Linked DNA regions of Sus scrofa. The main gene of each other region encodes a partner of the protein of the gene in region 3 in a complex. Links are inferred from orthologs where the notes say so. Each region holds a gene or a part of one and is shown on either strand. Other genes may lie near its edges.

The links.
Region 1: CWC27 (region 3) and SNIP1 share a complex: the UniProt entries of both Homo sapiens proteins name them as parts of the minor spliceosome. The link is inferred for Sus scrofa from reciprocal best matches to the Homo sapiens genes CWC27 and SNIP1.
Region 2: CWC27 (region 3) and SF3B5 share a complex: the UniProt entries of both Homo sapiens proteins name them as parts of the minor spliceosome. The link is inferred for Sus scrofa from reciprocal best matches to the Homo sapiens genes CWC27 and SF3B5.
Region 4: the proteins of CWC27 (region 3) and CWC22 are in contact, whole or in part, in a crystal structure (PDB 6YVH), measured with the Homo sapiens proteins. The link is inferred for Sus scrofa from reciprocal best matches to the Homo sapiens genes CWC27 and CWC22. Residues at the interface, in NP_005860.2 of Homo sapiens: Arg381, Glu382, Asp383, Gln384, Thr385, Leu386, Leu388, Leu389, Phe392, Lys393, Lys395, Leu396, Thr397, Ile400, Glu412, Asp415, Asp416, Glu417, Gly418, Trp419, Met420, Ser421, His422, Val423, Leu424, Gln425, Phe426; in NP_001362958.1 of Homo sapiens: Leu239, Arg242, Lys243, Tyr245, Arg246, Asn248, Asp249, Lys250, His270, Glu271, Val272, Leu275, Glu276, Thr279, Leu280, Leu281, Glu283, Arg284, Thr286, Asp288, Ser289, Val292, Val307, Ser308, Pro309, Arg310, Gly311, Thr367, Met369, Leu372.
Region 5: CWC27 (region 3) and SF3B2 share a complex: the UniProt entries of both Homo sapiens proteins name them as parts of the minor spliceosome. The link is inferred for Sus scrofa from reciprocal best matches to the Homo sapiens genes CWC27 and SF3B2.
Region 6: CWC27 (region 3) and SCNM1 share a complex: the UniProt entries of both Homo sapiens proteins name them as parts of the minor spliceosome. The link is inferred for Sus scrofa from reciprocal best matches to the Homo sapiens genes CWC27 and SCNM1.
Region 7: CWC27 (region 3) and SNRNP40 share a complex: the UniProt entries of both Homo sapiens proteins name them as parts of the minor spliceosome. The link is inferred for Sus scrofa from reciprocal best matches to the Homo sapiens genes CWC27 and SNRNP40.

The regions. Positions count from the first base shown.
Region 1 is NC_010448.4:93,599,360-93,602,169, forward strand, and holds part of SNIP1 (smad nuclear-interacting protein 1), read right to left. Parts: intron 885-2,810; coding exon 289-884; intron 1-288. UniProt on the Homo sapiens protein: Required for pre-mRNA splicing as component of the spliceosome. As a component of the minor spliceosome, involved in the splicing of U12-type introns in pre-mRNAs. Down-regulates NF-kappa-B signaling by competing with RELA for CREBBP/EP300 binding.
Region 2 is NC_010443.5:21,230,043-21,232,514, reverse strand, and holds SF3B5 (splicing factor 3B subunit 5), read right to left. Parts: upstream 1,252-2,472; 5' UTR 1,108-1,251; coding exon 847-1,107; 3' UTR 827-846; intron 718-826; 3' UTR 501-717; downstream 1-500. UniProt on the Homo sapiens protein: Component of the 17S U2 SnRNP complex of the spliceosome, a large ribonucleoprotein complex that removes introns from transcribed pre-mRNAs.
Region 3 is NC_010458.4:43,366,964-43,370,463, reverse strand, and holds part of CWC27 (peptidyl-prolyl cis-trans isomerase CWC27 homolog), read right to left. Parts: intron 2,682-3,500; coding exon 2,583-2,681; intron 1,950-2,582; coding exon 1,846-1,949; intron 450-1,845; coding exon 380-449; intron 1-379. UniProt on the Homo sapiens protein: As part of the spliceosome, plays a role in pre-mRNA splicing. Probable inactive PPIase with no peptidyl-prolyl cis-trans isomerase activity. As a component of the minor spliceosome, involved in the splicing of U12-type introns in pre-mRNAs.
Region 4 is NC_010457.5:85,546,838-85,550,337, forward strand, and holds part of CWC22 (pre-mRNA-splicing factor CWC22 homolog), read right to left. Parts: intron 2,990-3,500; coding exon 2,862-2,989; intron 1,302-2,861; coding exon 1,200-1,301; intron 1,108-1,199; coding exon 881-1,107; intron 1-880. UniProt on the Homo sapiens protein: Required for pre-mRNA splicing as component of the spliceosome. As a component of the minor spliceosome, involved in the splicing of U12-type introns in pre-mRNAs. Promotes exon-junction complex (EJC) assembly.
Region 5 is NC_010444.4:6,283,651-6,287,150, forward strand, and holds part of SF3B2 (splicing factor 3B subunit 2), read right to left. Parts: intron 2,589-3,500; coding exon 2,439-2,588; intron 1,769-2,438; coding exon 1,679-1,768; intron 1,570-1,678; coding exon 1,462-1,569; intron 1-1,461. UniProt on the Homo sapiens protein: Component of the 17S U2 SnRNP complex of the spliceosome, a large ribonucleoprotein complex that removes introns from transcribed pre-mRNAs.
Region 6 is NC_010446.5:98,079,575-98,083,676, forward strand, and holds SCNM1 (sodium channel modifier 1), read right to left. Parts: upstream 2,801-4,102; 5' UTR 2,682-2,800; coding exon 2,631-2,681; intron 2,364-2,630; coding exon 2,293-2,363; intron 2,053-2,292; coding exon 1,964-2,052; intron 1,867-1,963; coding exon 1,769-1,866; intron 1,661-1,768; coding exon 1,572-1,660; intron 908-1,571; coding exon 713-907; intron 465-712; coding exon 365-464; 3' UTR 270-364; downstream 1-269. Other genes in the region: LYSMD1 (lysM and putative peptidoglycan-binding domain-containing protein 1), read left to right, coding at 3,573-3,752. UniProt on the Homo sapiens protein: As a component of the minor spliceosome, involved in the splicing of U12-type introns in pre-mRNAs. Plays a role in the regulation of primary cilia length and Hedgehog signaling.
Region 7 is NC_010448.4:87,876,824-87,880,767, forward strand, and holds the start of SNRNP40 (U5 small nuclear ribonucleoprotein 40 kDa protein), read right to left. Parts: upstream 2,801-3,944; 5' UTR 2,718-2,800; coding exon 2,574-2,717; intron 1-2,573. UniProt on the Homo sapiens protein: Required for pre-mRNA splicing as component of the activated spliceosome. Component of the U5 small nuclear ribonucleoprotein (snRNP) complex and the U4/U6-U5 tri-snRNP complex, building blocks of the spliceosome.

The DNA.
Region 1 (2,810 bases), on a different chromosome or scaffold from region 3:
CTCCCCACAGGATTGTTGTGAACATCCAACAATAAAAGATGTGCTACGGAACCTGTCAAGATACAGATTCAGCTAACACATGCCAGGCATCCTTAGTTTTACTTCCACTTAATCCTCGTAACAGCCTTGCAAGTAGGTAGAAACTGAGACTAGTATTAGACACGAGGGGCATAGGCTTCTGCACGTGTATGTGTACACACACCCACCCCCACCCCCACCCCAATAATCCTAACCAAGACATTTGGCTTCTGATGGCACTTCCATTTCTCTCTGCAGATGGACACTCACCGGTACTGAAAGACGGCGTGCTGCTTTGAACAAGAGGGATGATCGATGGGAATGTCTGCGATGCGGCGATGTCGGCCCAGGAGGTAAGCGCTCTGCCGGTGGATGTACATCACAGGAAGCACCTCATCGTTTTTAAAGGGGTAGAGGCGCCACCGCTTTTTGGGGATACGTGCTTCTGGGGGCTCACTATATTTAATGACTACACCCCGGAAGGTGTTGGTGTCCTCCAGAAGCGCCCCAGAAAGTTCAAAACTTGGCTTTTCTTTAGCAGGCACCTCTTTGTCTTTGTTGTTGCCGCCAGGCCTTGCAAGTGAGTCCTGAGATGTGTTACCAGCACTGGCTTCATTCTTCTGGCGGTGCTCCCGGCGCCGGGCGTTATAGAACTCCCGCTCTGCTTCCTGTGCCTGCAGGTTTTGAATGTCTCGATCCCGCCCCTGGGGCTGCCCACCACCAGGCCGCTCGTTCGAGCCTCTCCTTTGGTGGGAATGGCTGCGGTGTCTGTCTCGGTCACTGTTCCTAGCGCGCTTGTGCTCCTGTCCTGAGGGTTCTCGGTGCGGCCGATCCTCCCGGCCTCTCCGGGGATGATCCTCACGTTCCTGATATCCAAAGAGATTCAGGAAATGAAAGGCAGTCCACAGTCTATGAACAAAGCTGCATTTGAAAAATCATTTGTGTAACACGACACTGTAAGTCAACTATACTCCAATAAAATTTTTATTTAAAAAAGTCATCTGTGATTTGGACTTTGGCATTCAGAGCAAAATGTCCCACACAAATAAGGTTATCAGTGGTGGTCACTTGCAAGGCCACCACATTGAATAGGTGCCCTAGGCCCCTAGGCTGCTGCCCAACTATAGTTCTAACAGTGTGAGCCCGTGTTCAGAGCTTCAAAAACAAGAACACCTATAGGCAAACTTATAGGGAAGTATATATAAAAAATAGAACTAACGGAGTGAGTTAAGTAGTCACATACAAAATAATTACGTGGAATTCCTGTTGTGGTGCAGTGGAAACAATCCAATTAGTATCCATGAGGATGCGGGTTCGATCCCTGGCCTTGCTCAGTAGGTCAGGGATATGGCGTTTCCGTGTGCTGAGGTGTAGGTCACAAGTGACTCGGATCTGCCATTGCTGTGGTTGTGGTGTAGGCCAGCAGCTGCAGCTCCAATTAGATCCCTAGACTGGGAATTTCCATATGCCGTGGGTGTGGCCCTAAAAAGCCAAAAAAAAAAAAAAAAAAGGAAAGGAAGAAAGCTAGCTTTCTCTTATGCAAAAATAAAAACACAATAGTAATTTTATTTATTTATTTGTTCACTTGTTTGTTTATTTTTCTTTTTAGGGCTATACTCAGGCACGTGGAGGTTCCCAGGCCAGGGGTCTAATCGGAGCTACAGCTGCCGGCCTACACCGGGGCCACAGAAACGCCAGATCTGAGCCGCGTCTGTGACCTACACCACAGCTCACAGCAAGGTCGGATCCTTAACTCCCTGAGTGAGGCCAGGAATTGAACCCACAATCTCATGGTTCCTAGTTGGATTCGTTTCCTCTGCACCACGATGGGAACTCCCACAATAGTTATTTTAAAAGATCTTATTTGGGAGTTCCCATTGTGGTGCAGCAGAAATGAATCAAACTAGGAACCACGAGGTGGCGGCTTCGATTCCTGGCCTTGCTCAGCAGGTTAAGGATCCGGCATGGCCGTGAGCTGTGGTGTAGGTCACAGATGAGACTAAACCTGGAGTTGCTGTGGCCGTGGTATAGGCTGGCAGCTTTATCCCCAATTAGACTCCTAGCTTGGGACCCTCCATATGCCGTGGGTGTGGCCCTAAAAGGACAAAAGACAAAAAAGTAAAAAAAATTTAAAAAAAATAAAAGATCTTATTTAAAAGATAGTTATTATTATAACAAAAATTATTCCATACCTAGGAATAAACGTTAGGAATATGCAAGATGTGTAAGAAGAAACTTGTACTACAGTTGGCCCTTGGACAACGTGGGGGTTTAGGGGCACTGACCCTTTGAGCGGTTGTAGTCGGCCCTCTGTGTATGTGGTTCCTCTGTATTTGAGAGTCCACATCCACATCCAGAGTCAGCCTAAAGGGGAAATGGAGTACTGTAGTATCTGCTGTTGAAAAAAATCCGCATGTAACTGGACCAGTGCAATTCAAACTCACATTGTTCAAGGGGCAACTGTGTAGGTATCTTTTTTAAAATCTCGAAAAATGGGAGTTCCCTGGTGGCCTAGTGGTTAAAGGATCTGATACTGTCACTGCTGTGGTGCAGGAACTCTTTTTTTTTTTTTGTCTTTTTGCCATTTCTTGGGCTGCTCTTGCGGCATATGGAGGTTCCCAGGCTAGGGGTCGAATTGGAGCTGTAGCCACCAGCCTACGCCAGGGCCACAGCAATTCGGGATCCAAACCGCGTCTGCAACCTACACCACAGCTCATGGCAATGCCAGATCTTTAACCCACTGAGCAAGGCCAGGGATCGAACCCACAACCTCATGGTTCCTAGTCGGATTC
Region 2 (2,472 bases), on a different chromosome or scaffold from region 3:
TCCACAGCACCCTCCAACATGTGCTTGCTTATGTCTGCAAATTTTGTGGTCTTCTGCTCCCCCAACCAGTGTAATATAGGTCCTTAAAGCCTGCCACATAAAATTCAACACGTATTTGCTGAATGAATTTAAGAACTAATTTGACAGTTTGTCAATACTCAAGATATGTCCACGTATTTCCAAAAGAAAGAGGTGTAATCTACAGAGAGAAGGCAAAGCGAGTCAAGATTTTTTTTTTTTGTATGAAAGAAAAAGGACACAGTGATCACAAACCTCAATAGTGAATGTGTTAAGGGCCTGAGAAAAGTTCCTGGGAGAAGTCAGGGTTGGAGAATATTATAAAGAGCGTATTTAAGTGTCTGGCAACGAACTTTGGCCCTGTGCTACTGTTGAACCCCTCCCCAACCCTTCCCTTCTTTATACCCCCCGCCACCCGGCAAACCACAGTCCCAGAGCCCTCCTTGGCCCCTCCACCAGAACACAAGTAGTCCACACCAAGAGACCGAAACATTTCTAAACTTTATAGAAAAAGCAACGAAGACAGTCAACTAGCCAAAAACGAGCCTCTTAATCCCATCTCACTCCAGCCATATCTCCTCTAACGTCTGCAGACTTTAGGATCTCTCCACTGTTCAGTTTCTCAGGGGTTATGACGGGTCTCCCAACACTTTGTTCCACAGGAAGGCAGGTCGGACGGAACGCCCCGGGTAAGGACCTCTGTACAAAGAAAGCACGAAAAGCAGAGCTATGAAGAATCCGTCCACTTGGGAGAGGAACCCGCGGGAATGACGACAAACCGGAGGAACGCAGAGAGGTGCTCACGTACAGCGGTGAGACGGTGAGGTCTCAGTTCTCCTCCGGTTTGTCGGCGGGCGGGCCGCAAGGCTGCAGCATCTTCTCCATCAAGTTGAAGCGGACTCGCGCTTTGCTCTCATTCTCGGCAATGGCGAAGTAGTTGAGAAGGTCGAAGTGGCCCATGTAGGAGCAATAGGAGTCGCGGTGCTGGTTCACCAGCCACTCCCATTTGGTGGTGTCGGCGTGGCCGGTGCCGATGTATTTGGACTGCAGATGCTCTAACTGGCTGTGGATGGTGTAGCGGTCTGTCATCTCGTTGCTTTTTCCTTTGCTCGCAGGTCAGAAGCCGCAGACGAGAAGAAGCCGCTCTAAGGTTTCAAGCCGGAGAGGAGCCACCCGCCGGAACCTCTGTACACGCGCGGCCGCAGGTGGATGGCGTCACAGCGACAAAGCAGCGCGACTCGCGGTCCCCGGCCTCCCAGGCGGAAGTGTATTCTGTCACGGAATTGGAGTTGCCTCGGCAACGCTACCAGTGGGCCTTCCCTATAGAGAGCCCCGCCTCCTTCGCAGAGCGTTGCATGCTGGTCCATCTAGCGGCCCTTTTCTAACAGGAGCTTTGCATGCTGGGACTTGTGGTTTCCGAGGGTTGGTTCGCAGAGACTTCTTGGGACCTCTGTGTGTGGGTTTGAGAGACTGAATGGACTGCGGTGTTTGGGAGGCAGGAAGCATCCTCGGGCGGATGGGGGGCCGAGAGGAAGTGGGAAACAAGTAGTACAAGGCTGTAAGCAACTGGGGAAAGGAGCTCTTTGTGCAATTCCGCTTTCGGAGCTACAGAGGGTACAGTAGCCGTTTCACAACCAGGGGTGGATCACCCTGAAGTCAGGAAACTCAAGGTCTGACCCCAGCCATGTCTCTTACAAGTTGTGTGGAAACTTCTTTCATCGCTTGCGGGGCCGCCGTTTCCCGCCTAGTGACCTAAGTACAGCACCAGTTCCGACACATTCAGGCCCCCACAACAGGCTCCTCCTTTTGAGCTTCTAATTTTGACATCCTCCCAACAAGTTTCACCCCACCTACAGGCCCTCAGCCTCTACTTCTCAAACGTTCCCGTGCTGCTCTCTCCAGTTCTCTGTACGAGCTGTTCCATCTGCGTGGAATGCTTTTGTTCCCCTGGCAAACACTTCTCCCTTTTAAGTCAGCTCGAAAGTATCTCCCTGAAATTGACTTTGGCTACTCCAGACAGATGTAAATTCTTTTCATCCTGTACATCTCTTTGTTATTATCACTTTATATCCAGTTTTTGGTTTAAGAACTTCCCCACACGAATACAAACTACTTGAGAAAAACTACTTTTTTGATGATGTCTTTTTTTTTTTTTGAGGGTGAGACATCTATCTACTTGATCTATTTGTAGCATGAAATCCACAAAGAAAACCCCAAAATGCGAAGTTCAATAAATTCAAATAGTAATATTTTTAAAAATATTAATGAAAAAGAGATGATGTCTTGTATCATATGCTTCTGTTATGCTAGCCACAGAGCCTCGCAGAGATTGTTTCTCAAAAAACATCTGATGAATGGATTAAAAAAACCTGTATGACGGCCAAATAAATTCTTTACTGGGAGAAAGATAACTTTAAAGTATCTTTATTCTGGTATAAAGTTACGGTTAGATAG
Region 3 (3,500 bases):
TATATATAAATGATAGTAAAATGAATATAAGAGCTCTGGTCTGTTATTGTTTATTACAGTAATGATAATACCCAAATCATCTAGCAAACCAATTAAACCAATAGCAATTAAAATCTGAATCATAAATATGAAGTCATTCTTTAATTCTGGTTCTGATTTTAAAAATTCAAATTAAAAAAAAAAACTATCTCAAATCATATTAAAAGTTGCAAGTATTACTGACCACAAATTACTTTATGAATCATTTCAATGAACACTTAGTGAATGTGTACCATGGAACATATGCTGTGCTATGTATAGCAGGAAATACAAAAATGAGTGAGATACAGATCCTCAACTCTTTCATAATTCAGAACACAGGGCAAATTAAGAGTTTTACCTGACTAACTCGATTTACTTCCTCCTCTTCTTCCTCGGCTTCCTCTCCAAATGAAAGTAAACTAAAATTTCTAATCAAAAATAAATAAATAAATAAATAAGGAAAAAAAGAATAGGAAGACAAAGTTAAATAAAATTTATAAATATCCCATTTTCAAAGCAATAGAAGAGAATTTATGAGAAGAAACACTCTATCAATAGACAATATGACTTAGTATTTATGGGAAATATACTAAAGATCTATGTTTTCAGCATAATATTAAGTGTTTGGCCCCAGACCACAGATGTTCCATATATTAGACTAAACTAATAACCAAAAATTCATCCTGAGTACCATCATTAAATATACTAAGTCAGGCATGATAGAAATAATTAAATCTTTTTATATTTATCAAAACTGGTTAGCAAAATGAGGATTTCTAAAAAATAAATACATAGCTTGAAAGCACTACAAATGGGAAACAGTTTATTTAGTGTCTGCCAAAACACATCTTAATGTTTTAAAATTATTGTTACAATTGTTAAATAAAAAAAGCAATAAACTTAGCTAAAAAATAGCCCATGGGAAGAGAAAATTAAGTTTGTCTTTTTTGCTTCTTCAAACTAAAAACATCACAACAAAGCTAAATAACAAGTTACTAAAACTCTCCTCTCAAATATTGGAAAAATAAAAGATTTTGCAACACAAGAGGAATTTTTATTTCAAAACTGAGATGTAATCAATGACTACCACATCATCCCTAATGTATCTGCAATGAATTAAAAACAAAAACAGAAACATCCAACTTTTGGGCTTCTTATCAAAATAGATCACAGTGATGAAATATTATATCTGAATACAGTGACAGTGACTTTTCAAATACATAGCTGTATGAGAAGTTATTTTGCCACAAGATAATCAACTGCTTATTAAAGGGTCTGATTCATATTTGACAGTTTAAAATAGCAACTTAACTAAATCTTTCCTTGATATCCCACAATGTTAATTTTTGTTTTGTTTTATTTGTCTTTTTGGGGCCACACCCACAGCATATGGAGGTTCCCAGGCTAGGGGTCCAATCAGAGCTGTAGCTGCTGGCCCAGGCCACAGCTACAGCAATACAGGATCCCAGACACGTCTGTGACCTACACCACAGCTCACAGCAATGCTGGATCCTTAACCCACTGAGCAAGGCCAGGGATCGAACCCACATCCTCATGGATACTAGTCAGGTTCGCTAACCACTGAGCCAGGACGGGAACTCCAAGTTGGCTTAAGTTTTAAAATTTATATTTTGTATCCGAATATAAGAAAGGTACATTTAAAAAAAAAAACCACACACATACATACACAATGTAGATAGTATTCTCCAGTACAAGCTGGCCTCCCCTCTCAGAAGTAAATAATTGTTACAAAAGGAAATAAAGTAAACTAAATAAATCAGTGTTGCTTTTCAAGCTGAGGAAAAATCTTTCTACTCTGATTACTTTGTGCCTTTGGGTTTCAATTTCTTTACTTCTTCTTCTGGTTTCTCTTTTCTTGGCTTTTTTATTTCTCTTGGAATGATGTCATCAAAAGGATTAAACAAAACCTATGGAAAGAAATATTTTAAAAAACATTACTCAATTTTTAAAAATTTCACAAAACATTAAAGCCAATATTTAACTATGTTGCCATTAGTAGTGCCTATAATTTTTCCTCACGTAACCATTACAAGTATAGTGATATACATACTACATAAAGTGCTTCCACTTACTTGGCTCATTGGACTGTCTTAGTAATCCAATGAGCTATTAAGTAAATATGTTTTAGCCCTATTTACAAAAGGGAAAAAAATTCAAGAAAACATAATCCATAGTAAGAGAGACAAACTCAGGTATTCTGACTCCAAATCAAACACTCTAAGGTACTTGCTTCCTCAATGGAGGATCACTCTTAAATTACCTACAAAATCACTTTATTGCGCTAAATAAGCCTAATTCATCCAGCTTTCCATTGTGAGTTGAGTTTTTCATTCATTGAATTATCAGCTAGTTTCATCGTTGTATTCAAAACCTTCAATTAAAAAAAATTCTTAATCAAGAATTATACCTAAATTACAGAGGTAAAATCTGAGTTGTGATATTAATTTATTATAAGGCTTTAATCTGATAATTTAAGAATATAATCAACTTCTCTTAAGTGATAATCTAGGTGATGTGTCTCATAACAGTCATGCTCCTACCTCACAACTTTTAATTTTGTGTGGATTACGTGGTCTTTCTTCATCATCAATGTCTACTTCTGTTAGTCGTAGCATGTTATACACTGTATCCCCTGTAACCTATCAAGTAAAAAAAAAAAGATTTAATTGCAAATTGTTAAATTCATTCTTTGAAATTAGGGAGGACCTTTGAAAATACTTTTTAACTAATTGAAATCATATTGTTATATGAGAATATATGCATTAAACTATAAATAAAACAACATTATCTTAAGGGGAAAAGGGCATTGATGAATTTTAATCCCTCAATAAGATTTTTGGGCAATTTCCAACATTTACTTAATGTTAGCTTTTATTAAAAATATAATGCCAAATAACCTTCTTGCGAATGACTACTTTTTGTTCAAACATTATATAAACAAATTTAGACTCTAAAATAGGGTAGAAGCAAGTAACAATAACAATGTGGTAAATGCTTTGCAGAAATTATATCTCATTTAACCCTCATGAACATTCTAAAAGTAGGTACTATCATTATCTTCCTTCTCCAGCTAAGAAACTTGAGGTTCAAAGAAGTTATAGAGTTTACAGTGACGGCCTTTCTGACTTCTAACCACCATGCTATACTTTGTCTCTAATGTGTGAATTATGTAACATCAGCTGTAAACAATGGTGCAGAATGCAATCTAATCTCATTTTATTATATATTTATTTTTTTAAATAAAAGGAAAATCTGTGAACATCAGACAACCTGTGTTGGAGTCACTTACACGTGCTAGTATATATTTCTTTATTCATGTTGTTAAGTATTATGCAACAGGATTGTATTAAATGTTTGTGGCATGACTCCTTTAACATTTCTCAAAAGTTCTAAAATAATATCAGTTTTTCCAGTTGTGCTAAGTTTGTTTTTTTCCCTTTTCCATCATAAAATCCAGC
Region 4 (3,500 bases), on a different chromosome or scaffold from region 3:
AAACCATCTGACAGTATCTATACAACCTAAAACCCATCGATTCCATCTCTAGGTATGTTACATACCCAACAGAAAGGCATATATACATGTGGTCACCAAAAGACACGTACAAGAGTATTCATGGGAACACTAAAAATTTAATTTTCCATTGATAAATGTTAAATATACTGTGGATATTCGTATAGTGAAAAACTACGACAACAAGAATGAATGAACTATAACTAAATGCAATAGCATGGATGAATCTCACAAGCATCATGTTAGAAGATAAGCTAGACATAAAGGAGTTCATAATATATAATTCTGAAGTTAAAAGCAGGCAAAACTAATATATAATTACAAATTAGAACAGTAGCTGCCATGAGGCAGTGGATGAGAGGAATGGTAACAACTAGGAAGGGAACAAGAACTTCTGGGTCCGAGCTACATGGATGTGTTCTGTTTATGAAAATTTATACAGCTGTTCACTTGTAAGGTACGCACTGAATGTGTGGCATGTGGCAATTACTAACATAAAGCTTCACTATTAAAAGTGAAAAATTAAAATTTCTTGAAAATATAAACATCAGGAAAGCTTAATCCTTAAACTAGATGACAGAAGTTAGAAATGGCATTTCAGTCAGCATTCAAATAAATTATTTGCAGTGGACTATCTTCATTTCTATAAAGAGTATTTCAAAAGATAATCTTAGCATTATAAACACTGAATTCAGTATGGACTGCAATAGTGATAGATGAGTGTTTATATTATTAATTGTGGCTTTTAAACAAGTGAAGTCTAAAATAAATAAGCAATCAAATGATTCTCTTCCCTTGTAAACACCACCAGCAATATACTTGTGAGAAAAGGGCAGAGTTAATTATAAATGAGCTTTGATACCTGAGGACGAGCTCTGACTACTGGTGGATGAAGAATCACTCTCCTCACTAGAAGACTCTGAACTGCTGTCACTGCTGTCCGAATCAGAGGCAGAGGATTCAGAATCGGAGGAGGAGGAGGAGGATCCAGAAGAGGAAGAGGAAGGGGAGGATTTATTGGGCTCAACATCTGGTTTTTGGGCCACGATGACCTTTGGTGTATTTTTGAGATGCTCACGCAATTCATCCCTAATTAAAAACAAAATTTCTATTAGATTCTGCCTTGAAGGCAACTGTGAGAAATTCTGTAAGGTGAATAAATTTCTGAAAATAATTCTTACGTTAAACCTCCAAGACCTATAGAAGTAAAGAAGTTGATGGCAAACCGAGTGTTTCTTGGGTTATCTCGGGGTAATAATCCTTCAAAGAATGGCTGCAGAGTTCTAAAAAAGAAAAAGAAAATGAACAAAACAGATTGGTTAAAAAGGTAAAACCCTTATATTAATCCTTGCATTTTCAGATTTTCTATATATTAAATTAGTAAATGAAATACAATTAAGTGATTTAAAAATCATTTATTTGGTTGTATGCTATCTAAATGAAATGAGTAGGGTCAAGCCATAATTTACTATAATTCTATAACAGAGAGGGTTTTAAAAAACTTTCTTATTCACTCTTATACACTCAGAATATATATATATAGAACACATATAAACCTATATATATGTCTATTTATTATACATTGAGTATATGTGCAGAAAAGTGAAAAAAACCAAACCCCCCCCCAAAACCCTCTCTTCTGGTGTATATACATACCATGTACACAGAGTGCTCTGCAAGGCACTGGAGGAGGGGAGGAAGCAGTCAACAAAAGAGAAATCAAGGATGAAGACTGTATGCAATCACTACAGTTAGGGAGGGGGACAGGCAGAAAAACATTGACAATATAATGTGGTTTTCAGTGCCACACTGAATGGCCTAACCAGCAGTGTTAGGAAAAACCATTCTTCATAGTAAAGGTAATTTAATGTAAGAAGAATGATTAAGAGTTTGATGGACAGAACAAGAGAAGGAATACCCAGCTCTGTTAGGATGCATGAACGAGCCAGAACTACTTAACAAGCTGGGCAGTGTTGGTGTGGCAGAGTGCTGCTGTTAAGATTCTGCTTGAAGGCAACTTATGAGATAATTCTGTGAGGTGAGTAAACTTACAGAACTTGTGTGGAGAGGAACTATGTGAACTTGACCAAGCAGATAGGGACCAATAAATAAGTACATGAAACCAGGAGAAGGGGATGGACTGGCCCAGAGCATACAGAAGCCAGGACAGACTTTCAGCGAACAATGGAGGGGGAGGCTCAAGAGAGAGAGACTGAGGGGAGGAAGGCACAATGAAGGAAAGTGAGGAGCCACAGTGAACAAGTGGTCAACAGTGTGAGGCCAAGAAGTCAAGAGGCATGAGGCCACCTGGAACTGGCAGGTGGTCACTAAGACAAATGAGAAAGGACTTCAGGAGTGTGAATGGAACAGAAGCCAAAGTGAGTGGTGACGGGCAATCTGGATAAATGGTAAATAAGAAAGCTGATATTATTTGATAGTCCTGGAACAAAACCCTAGTTCAGTGTAAAATTTGAATAGTTTCATGAGTGATACTCATTTGTATATATTCACAGTAATTTATTGATAGTAAAAAATTAGCATTCTAAGGCTCAAAATTAGGGTAAAAATGAAACTAAAACTAAAAACACTCATTGCTGGAAAACTCCAGTGAGCATGCAAAAGTTCTAACTAAATTAAAAGAGGTATTAATTCTGAATTTTCTCTAGAACTAGACTATCATCAAGTTTCATGTCGTACCACATAATACAGGAGACTCAGAGTGGCAACGAATGGATGAAAACTATCATGAGAACTTGTATTTTTACCACTAAGGGTAGATTTCCTCTGCTAAAGTGCGGTAAAGCCTCTGAGGGCAGGAAGAATAAAAAGAATAACAAACTTACTCATCCTTTAACCTTGCATTAAGTTTAGGAAGACCCATGTATTCACACAGTTCTTGGAAAAATATTTTCACAAAAATTCTACTGGATGATGTAGTAGTTTCTTCACTCAGCTTTATACATTCAAGAACCTGAAAATTAAAATTTAAAAACATTTTTATTTTGGTGTTTAAAAGGTAAGACAAAGTGACCAATATTTATAACTTTCCTTTCTTGTGAAATTACAATTTGTTCTCATCTTCAATCAGAATTATCTCTAAATATCTTAAGATGATGTATATTATTTCTTGGAAAGAAATAAGACTGCCTCTCTATACTAATTTTCAAAATGTTAAGATGCTGTAGAAATAAAGAGTTCATTCTCTTTCTTGAGTAATGTATGTGCTTTTTATAGATGGGAGGATACTGTCTTGAACATATAGTGCTAAGATTACTAGTTCCTAAAACTCACTCATTAAAATGTGCATGTATGAGAGTCTGGGGACAAAATGCCACTGAAATCATCAAGCCATAGTTTTATAAAGACAAAGAGTGATGGCTTGTTCTGAATACTAAGATTGGGGCTGAAAACCTAAAGCTCATAGAGATATTTTAGGGTAAATAAAAAATAAAAGCAACCTCCATGTTTGATGGATTCTGTGT
Region 5 (3,500 bases), on a different chromosome or scaffold from region 3:
AAGCCTGCTAGTAACTTCAGCCTTCAGGGTGGAGTTCATGCTGCCTAAAACTGAAACATGTACTTTGCAAGACACGACTCCAACTTCTTACTGATGTTCCTAATGTTGGCAAGCTTTCAGAATCTAGTTCTCTAAAGTGACAGAATTTTTTTTTTAAGGGCTTGTGCCATGTGGAAGTTCCCAGGCTAGGGATCGAATCTGAGCTGCAGCTGCCGGCCTATGCCACAGCCACAGCAACGCCAGATCCGAGCCATGTCTGTGACCTACACCGTAGCTGGTGGCAACACCAGATCCTTAACCCACTTGAGTGAAGCCAGGGATCAAACCCAGGTCTTCATGGCTATTGGTCGGGTTCATTACCATTGAGCCACAACAGGAACTCAAAGTAACAGAAATTTTTATCTGAAATTTAACAATCACTTCTTTCCCATTTTAATGACTGTTGTCTGTGAAATTTTTTATTGCTTTTTATTTAAAAACAAACTTAGCAGTTCCTGCTGTGGTGCAATGGGGTAAGAATCTGGCTGCAACTGCTCAGGTCACTATAGAGGCTAGGGTTTGATTCCCACCCTGGCACAGCGGGTTAAAAGATCCAGTTTTTCTTTCTTTTTTTTTTCTTTTTGCTATTTCTTTGGGCCACTCCCGCGGCACATGGAGGTTCCCAGGCTAGGGGTCGAATCGGAGCTGTAGCTGCCAGCCTACACCAGAGCCACAGCAATGCGGGATCCAAGCCGCGTCTTTGACCTACACCACAGCTCACGGCAACGCCAGATCCCCAACCCACTGAGCAAGGGCAGGGACTGAACCCGCAACCTCATGGTTCCTAGTCGGATTTGTTAACCACTGAGCCATGACGGGAACTCCAGATCCAGTTTTTCTGCAGCTGTGGAGTAGGGCACAGCTGCGGCTCAGATTCAATCTCTGGCCCCAGAACTTCCATATGCCATGGGTGCAGCCATAAAAAAAGAAAAAAAGGTAAAAAATAAAAATAATTTGCAACAAAATAGATTACTATTTTTAATGAAAAAAAGAAAGAAAACAGCATGAAGTTCATTCTCTAAAGGTTTTTTAAGTTTTGACTATTTCTCCAATGGTATTACCTCAATATAGAGATTTCTGAAGAAAAGAAATTAAAAAAAATAAGTTTAATGCCACTCTTAAAATTCTATCTGTCCATCCATGTACACATCAGAGAGAGATATCTGGAAATACATTCACCAGATATTAAACCTGGTTATTTCTGAGTGGTGAAATGTGAGCAATATGTGTTTTCATCTTTGTTCTCAATTCTGACTGACCATTTTATGACACACGTCTCGTGGTTTTCTTAAAACAAAAACCATACTCCTTTAATTTGAAAAAAAGCCAAAAGACACACAGTAGAAGAAAAGAAAAAAAATCCTCCTCTAGTTAAAGAGCCAGCTCCTCCCTTAGAAGAAGGACAGAAAGGAAAGCTCTCACCTCGGGGATGGGCGAGTTCAGCCCCGGGATCTTCAGGTTGGGGTACGACGGGGGCGGCCCGTAGCGCTGCATGGCGATCAGCCACGGGGGAGGGACCTTGTGTGCGTTCTGCAGGACGAGAGAGGACGGGCTCCCACCTGCCCGACCCGAGCCCTTGGCTCCCCCGCCCCATGCCCAACCTCTTCTCTGTTTGCCCAGCCAGGTAACTGGCACTCACTGGTCCTACTGGCATCCCCAAGGAAATCCGCAGCTCATCAGACAAATCGCCTGGCTTCTTCTCCTTCAGCCGTGTCTCAAACTCCTTCCCCTGAGGAAAAAGCAGAGCATGCCGTGCTGTGGGCTCCAGACACACACTGGGAGGTTACCTGCCAGGGGGCGGGAGAACAAAGAGGTCCCAAACCACAGCAGACAGAGTCCCTCGGAGGACTACCTAGTTCCCAGGGTTCTCGTCACCTCTGCCCCCGGCCGCGCCGGGGGTGGGGAATGATGATAAAAGCCAGGAAGTGGAGGGGGCAGGCACTCCCGCTGTGAGCGCACAGCCACTTCTAAGGACAGGCTTTCTCATCTCCCGGGTGGGGGCTTGGAGAAGACCGTCTCCAAGGGCCTTCGGCCTCAAAAATCCCACGACACCGCGCTGACTAACATCTCAAGGGCCAGAACAAAAAAACCAAAACAAGACAATTTTCTCCTGCCCCCAAGAGGGAATGTTTCCTAAAGCATCTGCCCTCGGCCCCTGTTTCTAAACTACCCACATACACGACTGCTGCCTCGAAGATGCGATCCGCATCCCTCCTCCAGAAAAGCACCCCTCGCTGCAAATGCCACCCCATCCAAGGGCAGCTAGTGGACAACCCAGAGCCTGAGGCGAGAGGGCCACCGGCCCCACCTCCAGCTTCCAAAGCCCCTGGGACCCGGCGTTCCGGGGTGGTGACCCAAGGCAGAGCCCTGCCCCCGCCCTCCCCGCCCCCGCTGCCGACCTCGTAGTACAGGTCCCCGTGGATGGTCAGCTTGGGCTTGGTCTGCCACTTGAAGAAGGCGTCGTGCAGCTTCTGGTAGTCGATGTCGATCTTGCCCATCTTGGGCCGGACCTTCTCTCGCATCTTGGACTTCATGGTCTTCTGCTCCTCCTGCGGGGATGGCACGGGGTACGGGAAAGGCCCTCAAAGTCCAACTCTGGCCAGATCTGGCCTCCCGCTCCCAAAAGAGATGGGGGAAACCTCATCCGTCTTAACTCCCAAGTCACCCAAATGCTTCCTGCTCAGTCCAGCCCCTCAAAGTTACACGACCCGTGCAGAACAAAATAGATGCATCATAAGAAATCACAATCAGCTACGTACATCAAATAATTTTTAAGCCATGGGATCAAGGGACTGACTCCTCAGCTCCCTCTGCAGAGACCTGGGTGACTAGGGCCTGACAAGGCACAGTTCTCACCACCTACTTCGGCACTTGCTGCATTTGTACACCACCCACAACTATCACCTATTCAGAGTATTTAATTAAAAACTTTAAACTTGGAGTTCCCATTGTGGCACAATGGTTAACGAATCCAACTAGGAACCATGAGGTTGTGGGTTCCATCCCTGCCCTTGCTCAGTGGGTTAAGGATCCTCCAGTGTTGCCATGAGCTGTAGGTTGCAGACGCGGCTCAGATCCCGCACTGCTGTGGCTCTGGCGTAGGCCAGGGGCTACAGCTCCAGTTAGACCCCTAGCCTGGGAACCTCCATATGCCACGGGAGTGGCCCTAGAAAAGGCAAAAAGACAAAAAAAAAAAAAACTTAAACTTAAGAAATTACTCAACCAGCATACAATTCCAGCCACAAGTGTATCCAGTTCATATAATAAGCAGAGAACCAGACACAGCGAGAAGCAACGTGCAAGGAAAGGAATCACCACGTGCCTCTAGATCAGAGAGCCGGGAAGGGCAGGCATGGACGCGAGGAGCCCGGGGCGAAAAGAGAGCCACACAGAACCGGAAGTGGGGAGCACCGGCCTCAACAGAGGTGAGGTCTGCCTTTCACGTGATGCCCTGCCCCTCC
Region 6 (4,102 bases), on a different chromosome or scaffold from region 3:
GACCTGTCCAGCTCCCACCCCCACCCCACCCAGTGCCTACCCAAAAACTTCATGTCATTTGAAGGAGGAAAAGACTCTGAGTGGAGGTGGGGAAGAAGTCAGACAACATGAAGGGCAAAGACCTCCTTCTGACAGACTTATTTTAGGGCACCGGGCTGCATGCAGCTGACGCTTGGCATGACTTTGGTAGAAGTGGGGGGAGGGGCTAGAAGTATGGGGAGCTGTGTACATTGCAGGGAAATATTGGCCAGGCTGAGAACGAACAGACCTGAAATCCTGAAATGAGACAAGGAACCAGACTCAAGGAAAGTCAGGCTCCCAGCGCCCACTATAGTTTATTTGTGAACTGAATGGGGAAAGAGTGTCAGTCCAAGGGGAGATCAGGGGGTTCCTCTTCATCAGAATCAAACTCAACATTCTCATCTTTTATCCATCGACCTTGTCCATCTGGGATCCATCCAGAACTGGAAATATCAGAACAAACAGAATCGATCAGGAAAGGAAATGTGTTAAGAATTTAGTAGCGGAGTTCCCTGGTAGCTCGGTAGTTTATAGATCTGCATTGTCACTGCTGTGGCACACTTCTGCATGCTGTGGGCATGGCCTCCCGCCCCCCCCAAAAGCTAGTAGGGATAAGTAATATTTGAGGTTTGAAAAAAGGAGAGCCAGAGAGAAAAGGGACAATCTGAGGAAAGTGATTCCGTACACTCACCTTCGAAGGGTGAGATAATGATCCAGAGCCCGTCTTCTTGTGGGGCTCATAGGTGCAGGGGATGAGACAGTGGCTGATTCCTTGGTTTGTGATGCAGCCGCAGGCTCAAGTTCCCTACTGATCCTCTCACTTTGGGATTCAACCTCTGGGGGTGAAAAAGCGGAACGAGAGACAGAGGGACGAGGGGCTTCTGGTCTGGGTAGAGAAGAATCAAAGTCTGTAAAAGCAGTAAAGGAAAGGACCAAATCTCCTGTAACTCCCAACCCCTTAAAGCAGTGCTTCCTAAACTGTATTCCTCAAGATATTAACAGGTGTTCTGCATAAAAAGGATTTTGGAATCAAATGAACTTAAGGAAAGCCTAAGTTAGTTTTTTCAGCTTTTTTTTTTTTAAGACTGTGTAGAACCCTGAAAATATACTGTTACTATTCTTTTTTTTGGTCTTTTTAGCGCTGCACTGTGGCATATGGAGGCTCCCAGGCTAGGGGTGAATGCAAGCTACAGCTGCCAGCCCTTACCACAGCCACAGTAACATGGGATCCGAGCTGTGTCTGCAACCTACACCACAGCTCACAGCAACACTGGATCCTTAACCCACCAAGCAAGGCCAGGGATCAAACCCTCATCTTCATGGATGCTGGTCGGGTTTGTTCACCGCTGAGCCATGATGGGAACTCGTAATATTACTATGCGTCAAACAGGATTACAAAATCCTATTTCCCAAACAAAATTCTTTTTTCCTGAAATTCAAGTTAGCATTTCCAGAACACTAGTATTCCTCAGAATCCAATTTGGAAAACAGTACTTTAGAGCGATCGATCTCCTGTTCCTCCCTACTTCTGGATTACCCACCCCACAGACCTGTTCTTTCGGCGGCAGCAACTGTTATAGTGAGGAGCTCTGTGCAGAGCACTCTGGGTAATAAGTCGAGTCTGGGTTAACAGAGGAGCCTGGCATGGAGATGGGAGACAAAGTCAGAACCTTCAGAGCTAGAAAGAATCCAGAGCCTTCAAGCCTAAGGTGTGCAGCCTGGAACACACCCTCCCCTCTCTGATTACCTCTGCTTTGGTCTCTTCTCTCCTCAATTCATTCTGTTGTCTTGGATTTGGCTCCAGGCCCTTTCCTGGGTGCTTCTTGCCATAGAAAAGCTGCAGGCCTCAGGAGAAAGGGAAAGAGAATTAAAAGGAGGGCACCCAGAGTGAATAAACCCTTTAAGGGTTTATTCTCTATGCTCTGTCTTCCCACAAACTTACTGGACAGATGTTTCTTGCCTGCACGGTGGGCAGTCAACATGGCCAGGGTGTCCAGTACCGGTCGGTGAGGACAGATGGCACAAGCAAAGCTAGAGAGGAGGAGAGAAGATAATTGGTTCCTGGGGAGTGGAGTCTCTGCCATAGGTTCCACCACAGCCTAGAACTCCTTTCCAAAGCCCAAATCCCAAGTCTCCCAGTCTCCACCACCAACATCCCTGTTACTCACTCCCCGCCAAAGATTCCTTGTTCTTTCCAATCTGCTTAATAACAAAAGTTTGTTGAGCCTCTAACCGCAGAACCCCCAGGCTTGATCCACTCCTAGTCCTCACCGTCCATCCCGTAGCATCAACGCCTCATCCTCTGGGATGTAACTCGCCAGCAGGTCCCCGACTCTCCGTTTCTGCAGGGAACAAGGGAAGAAATGAGGACGGGGTCAGCTGGATATGAGGGAGGAACAAAAAGGAAATGACAAGGACGAGGACTCAAAGGGAATAAAGGCCACAAGAAGGGTAGAGATCTGGGCTGAAGAAGGGGTGTCGGCCCAGTTCCAATCGTCTGGCTTCCTCCGCCCCCCTCCCCCGAGTTGTTGCCACAGCAACAAAACAGCTCCCTCACAGCCTTCAGACGGCAACTGAAGCTGCTCCAGATGCTCTCCTCTCGCGCTTACTTTGAGCACATTGAGTTGACTCCAATCGTCCCCTTCCCTCTTGAAAGACATCACGACTGTGAGAGCCCCAGAAATATAAGTTTTATCGCGCCGCGTTCGCCACTCCTTTCAGGCCACCGTAGCAAGAGTGGGACGTCTCCTTTCTTTCCTGTCTCTTTCCGGTTGGCCCCCTTACTTCCGGGATGCGCTTCCACGCATGCGCCGCGCGATCCCGAAAACCCGCCTCTAGCCCATAGAGGGGACTGCATTTCCTATGGTGCTCTGCGACCCCGCCGGCGCGGAGCCTTTTGGGAAATGAAGTCTTTTTTCAAAGAGCTTGCCGCCCTGCCCGATTCAGGCCCTTGCATCTTGGCAGATTAGAGGCGTTTGGAGAAAGAGGAACCTAGCTGTGGATCCCGAGTTTGAGAGTGTGACTGATTTGATGCGGAGCGTACCTTTGAGGATCTCTCAGGGGAAAGTGTGCTACAGATTCTCGCGGTCATCACGCCCTTCGCCTGAGGCCACAGCCCACCTGGAGTGGGCCTGATTAGTTCCCGACCCTAGCGACCAAGCCCGGGACGCGCGGAATCGGGGTTGGGGGCTGGGAGGTCTGGCGGACCGACCTGGGGGCAAACTCTGTAGTGTAGAGGAGGGTGTCTAGTGGTCAAAGGTCAGAGGTCAATGTCGCGAGTTGTGGGGGATCGAAAGTCGGAGGGGTACTAAGGAGAAACTCAGGTAGGGACTGAACAGTCAGGTTACAGGTTTGTGGGAAAAGGCCTTGGAAGGCGGGGAAGCCAGGAGTCAGAGGTCGCCTAGTGGGGGGAAGGCGGAGAGACTTAGGAGAGAACACAGAAAGGGAAAGGAATCCTCCAGATTTTCATTCCCAGACCCCGGGCCTGTCACTATCGGTCACTTGGCCGGGCCTCCCGCAGTTGCAACTCCAGTTGTCCGCAGGGTGAGGAGATGGCCTCTCCCTCTAGACAGGCCCCCCTCGGGGGGTCAGGACTGCTTCAAGGGAGCCGGGCTCGTTCTTATGGAAGCCTTGTGCAGTCTGCCTGCTCCCCGGTGAGGGAAAGACGCCTGGAGCATCAGTTGGCGCCCGGAGACACCCTGGCTGGACTAGCACTCAAATACGGGGTGACGGTGAGTCTTCCAGGATTGGGACGCAGACACTCAGAAAAGATTTATTCCTCATGAGGATATAGTGGCCCTCTGGGCAACTTCACCTGAAATTTTCCTAATTGTGTCTAAATTAGTTAATTGTGATAAATTAATTGACAAGGGTCCCATCTCGTGTTGCACTGTCTGGTTGAGACAAATCCTGTCTCAATATCCCGGTGGAGGTGAGCAGCTCTTATTTATTATACCAGTCACTATACTAAAGACTTTACATCCATTAGCGCATCTGATCGTCACATCCCTATCAAGCATACAATTATTATACCCTTTTTATAGGTGAAGAAACTGAGACTTAGATTGGTTAACCAATTTGA
Region 7 (3,944 bases), on a different chromosome or scaffold from region 3:
CTCTAATTAGATTCTCTTCTTCTGAAGTTTCCAGGGTCTGTTTGTTATGCTAACTCTCCTCCTCCCTCACTGCGCTCCTACTTTTGATTGCTCAAACATGTTAAACTCATTTCTGCCTCAGGATCTCTTATACTTGTAGCTGAACCCGCAGGAACAAGACAGAAACCCCTTCCCCTAGATCTTCCTGTGTGTGACTCCTCTCAAACATTTCTGCTTCAGAAAGTCCTTCCTGGAACACTCAAACTCAAGCAGCACTCTTCCACCTCCCTTCTACATGCTATCAACCTTAGGGATTCTCTCACAGCACTTCATTTTTCTTTTTTTGCTTTTTAGGGCTGCACCCATAGCATACGGAGGTTCCCAGGCTAGAGGTCTAATGGGAGCTACAGCTGCCGGCCTATGCCAGAACCACAGCAACGCCAGATCCTTAACCCACTGAGTGAGGCCAGGGATCAAACCCGCAACCTCATGATTCCTAGTCGAATTCGTTTCTGCTGCACCACAACGGCAACACCTCTCACAGCACTTCTCTAACTACCTGAAATTACCTTCCTCATTACTTGTTTACAGTGTCTCCCCTACTGTGCCACTAGAAAAGCTCTGTGACCACAGGAACCCTATAGAGTCATTCAACAGTCTTCCCAGTTTCTAGTTCATTTAATGAATGAATGATTGAATTGAGCTTCCCAACAACCTTGCAGGGTACAAGGTTACTAAGGAAAGTAGTCTTGTTTACGGTTTTAGCCACTAAGCCTAGGCTTGGGCAATTCACAGAAACTTGAGCTGATATTCTTACTTGTCAGATGGAAGAACAAATACACTGGCATTCTCTTCATGGCTCAGTGGTTAACAAGCCTGACTAGGAACCATGAGGATATGGGTTCAATCTGTGGCCTAGCTCAGTGGGTTAAGGATCCGGCGTTGCCGTGAGCTGTGGTGTAGGTCGCAGACACAGCTCAGATCCTGAGTTGCTGTGGCTGTGGCGTAGGCCAACAGCTGTAGCTCTGGTTTGACCCCTAGCCTGGGAACTTCCATATGCCATGGGTGCTGTCCTAAAGAAAAAAAACCAAAAGAACAAATACACTATTAATAATTCCTAAATCTCATCAGTAGTTTCCAGCTTATTCATTTACTCAAAAAATACTATGTGTCAGGCACTGTTCTAGACATTGAGAAAACAGTGTTGAACAAAATAAACAATGTAGGTTGTATTCTAGCAGGAGGGAGGGACAGAAAGGAGGGAGGGATGGCAGAAACAAGTATAAGGTATAGATGGTGGTGGTACGTACCATGGAGAAAACCAAACAGCAATGTGTTAGTGAGTACCCAGGTATGCAATTTAAAACAGGTTGGTCAGGAAAACCTTCATGGAAAAAGCGATATTTGAGCAGAGACTTGGAGGAGCTGAGTGTGTAAACCAGGTGGACATTTGGAAAAAGAACACTCCAGTAGTGGGAAAAGAAAATGCAAAGGCTTTGTGTGTGGTAGGAGCATAGAAGCCAATGTGACTGGAGTAAGGTGAGCAATGGAAAATTGGTAGATCAGAGAGGTCAAGGGAAAGAGGGCAAAAGGTTGTTAGGATTTTAGTTTTACTCTGAGTGAAGCGAAAAGCCATGGCATGTTTTCAGCAGAGGTTAACATGATTTGATGTTTAGAAGGATTCCTCCGGCTGCTGGACTGAGAATAGAATGAGCATCTGAGAAAAGAAACAGGAATGCCATCAGGATCCTACAGCAGGAATACTAGGTGAGAGAATAACAGCTTAGATCAGGAGGTAGTGATGGAGATATTTAGAAGTGGTAACAAATCTGGGTTTATTTTAAGGATGGTGCCAGCAAAGATTTGCTGACAGCCTGATTGAGGAGTTTCAGGAGGGGACATATATTCTTCAGCTAAGCCTAATAGAGCAGAAGGAGAGATGTCATCCATCACTACCTCTATCTTATAAGAACTCTAGTTAAAAGCCTGGATTCTGATTTTAAAATCGGTTTCTATCACTTATTAGAGAAGTTTGTTTCCCCATCTACAAAATGGGACAATTAACAATTCCTACCTCTTAGGCAGTGACCAAGATTAATGGAGTTTTCATATACAAAACACTTAGTACATGGCTCAATAAGTGTTACCTATTCTTCAGTTGTTAATACTAGTGCAGAGAAAGAGTTTTCCCCAAAGCAAGTTGCCCCAAGTCCCAAAGCGAGCTAGTATCGTTCATTTCCTTCCTTTCTTTCTTCCTTCATTCATCCATCCACTCTTTCAACTTTCCTGAACGTTTATTCTATGCTGGATCCCTGGAAGATTTAGGATGCGAAAGCCCGGGGCCCAGTTTTAAGATCCCTCACTAATTCTAACGCCCCCTCACAGGGCCATCGAGACGCTGAAACGTCAAACGGGGAAACGTAGCATCGCAGGGTGTTGACCGCTTTAACAGGTTTTTCTGCTCTAACTCCCTGGTGTGAGTCCCGTTCCGCCCCCGCAGTGCAGGGAAAGGGCCGGTACGGGATCTCACGGTGGAGCACTGAGGAGACAGGAAGATGAGCTGAGGGCCGAAGGCCATCTGCTCGTTTACTCACCGCTTGCAGCAAAGCTCCCGGCGCCGCCTGCTGCTGCCCGGCTCCCGGGCCCGACCCCGCCGCTCCCAAAAGCAATTCATGCCGCTGCCGCTTGACTGGGACCAGAGGCAACTCTGGGCCCTTGCGCTTCTGCTGTTCTATCATGGCGGCAACCGCTCTCCTCAGGCCGCCACTGACCGCGCCGACACCCTCAGGGAGCGCACGATTGGCTCCGACTTAGTCTTTCCCTTAGAACTTCCGGCTTGGAGAAACCAATCGGCTTCCAATACTCCCCTCTGCACCGCCCCCTGGGGAGTCTCCAGTTATTGGGCAACTCATTCTGATGTCACTAGAGTACGATTCCAGGATTGGTGGAACGAGCTGGAGTCCCGCCTCGGCGCGCTGGGTCTTGTGGGTGGAAGCGCGCTGACTGGGTTCTGGCGTTTCGCGCAATGCTGCGGCGGGGAGACCTGACGCTAACTCCGAGTAAGTGTTGGGGGTGGGTGGCTGCGGAATCTGGAGGCGGCGCCTCCGTTGTGTGGTCTGAAGCTGGCCTCTCTCAGCCCAGGGTTGATCGCAGAGGGCAGAGGGGGCCCCTGAGTTCCTAGCTCTTGGTGTATGGTGGCCTGGGTTCCCTTTCTAGGTTGGAGCAGAGCAGTGGGGTCTCTGCGCCTGCCTGGGGCCCTCGACGGCTGCTTTCTTTAACAAGCGCCTTCTGTGTCGAGCCCTGTGCCAGGTGCTCCTTGGGAGAAAAGGTCAGTTTCCCAGCCTCCACCAGGGTCGTCTCAGACTTTGGAGGCCGACTTCTTTCTGCCGTGATACTGCAGCCTTTTACCAGCGCCTGCTCTGTGCCCCTGAGAGAGAGAGAGGGAGAGAGAGAGAGAGATGAAGGAAATGTCCGACTCTTGGTCTCCAGAGCACAGTCTTGGCTGAGAAATTCAGACTCATACTTGTGAAGTAGGTTTTCTCCTTAATCGTTCAACTGATATTTATGGTGCAAAGCTTTGAGGAGACATTGTGAACCAAACATGGTCCCTGACCTCAGGGCTTTGAGTCCGATGGGAAAAACAGATGCTCAACAATGATCTTTATAGGGAATGCAAAGTAAGTGCTGCCAGGGAAAGGTACCTGGTGTTTTGAGTGCCAGAAATAAGCCGGAAGACTTGTCTAACAAAAAGATGCCTGAACCTATGCCTGAAGGAAGAATTCTAATTAGTTGGGGGAAGAGAGGAGGGCAGAATATTCCATATAGAACAGCATGTGCAGAGGCCCAATGGCAAATGAGAGGAAAATGACTAAAAGGTACAAAGAGGCCAGTGTTGCCAGGACAAAGAGAATAAAGGGGAGTGTGGTACAAGATGAAGCTGGAGGCAAGTGGAAGCCAGACTGTGT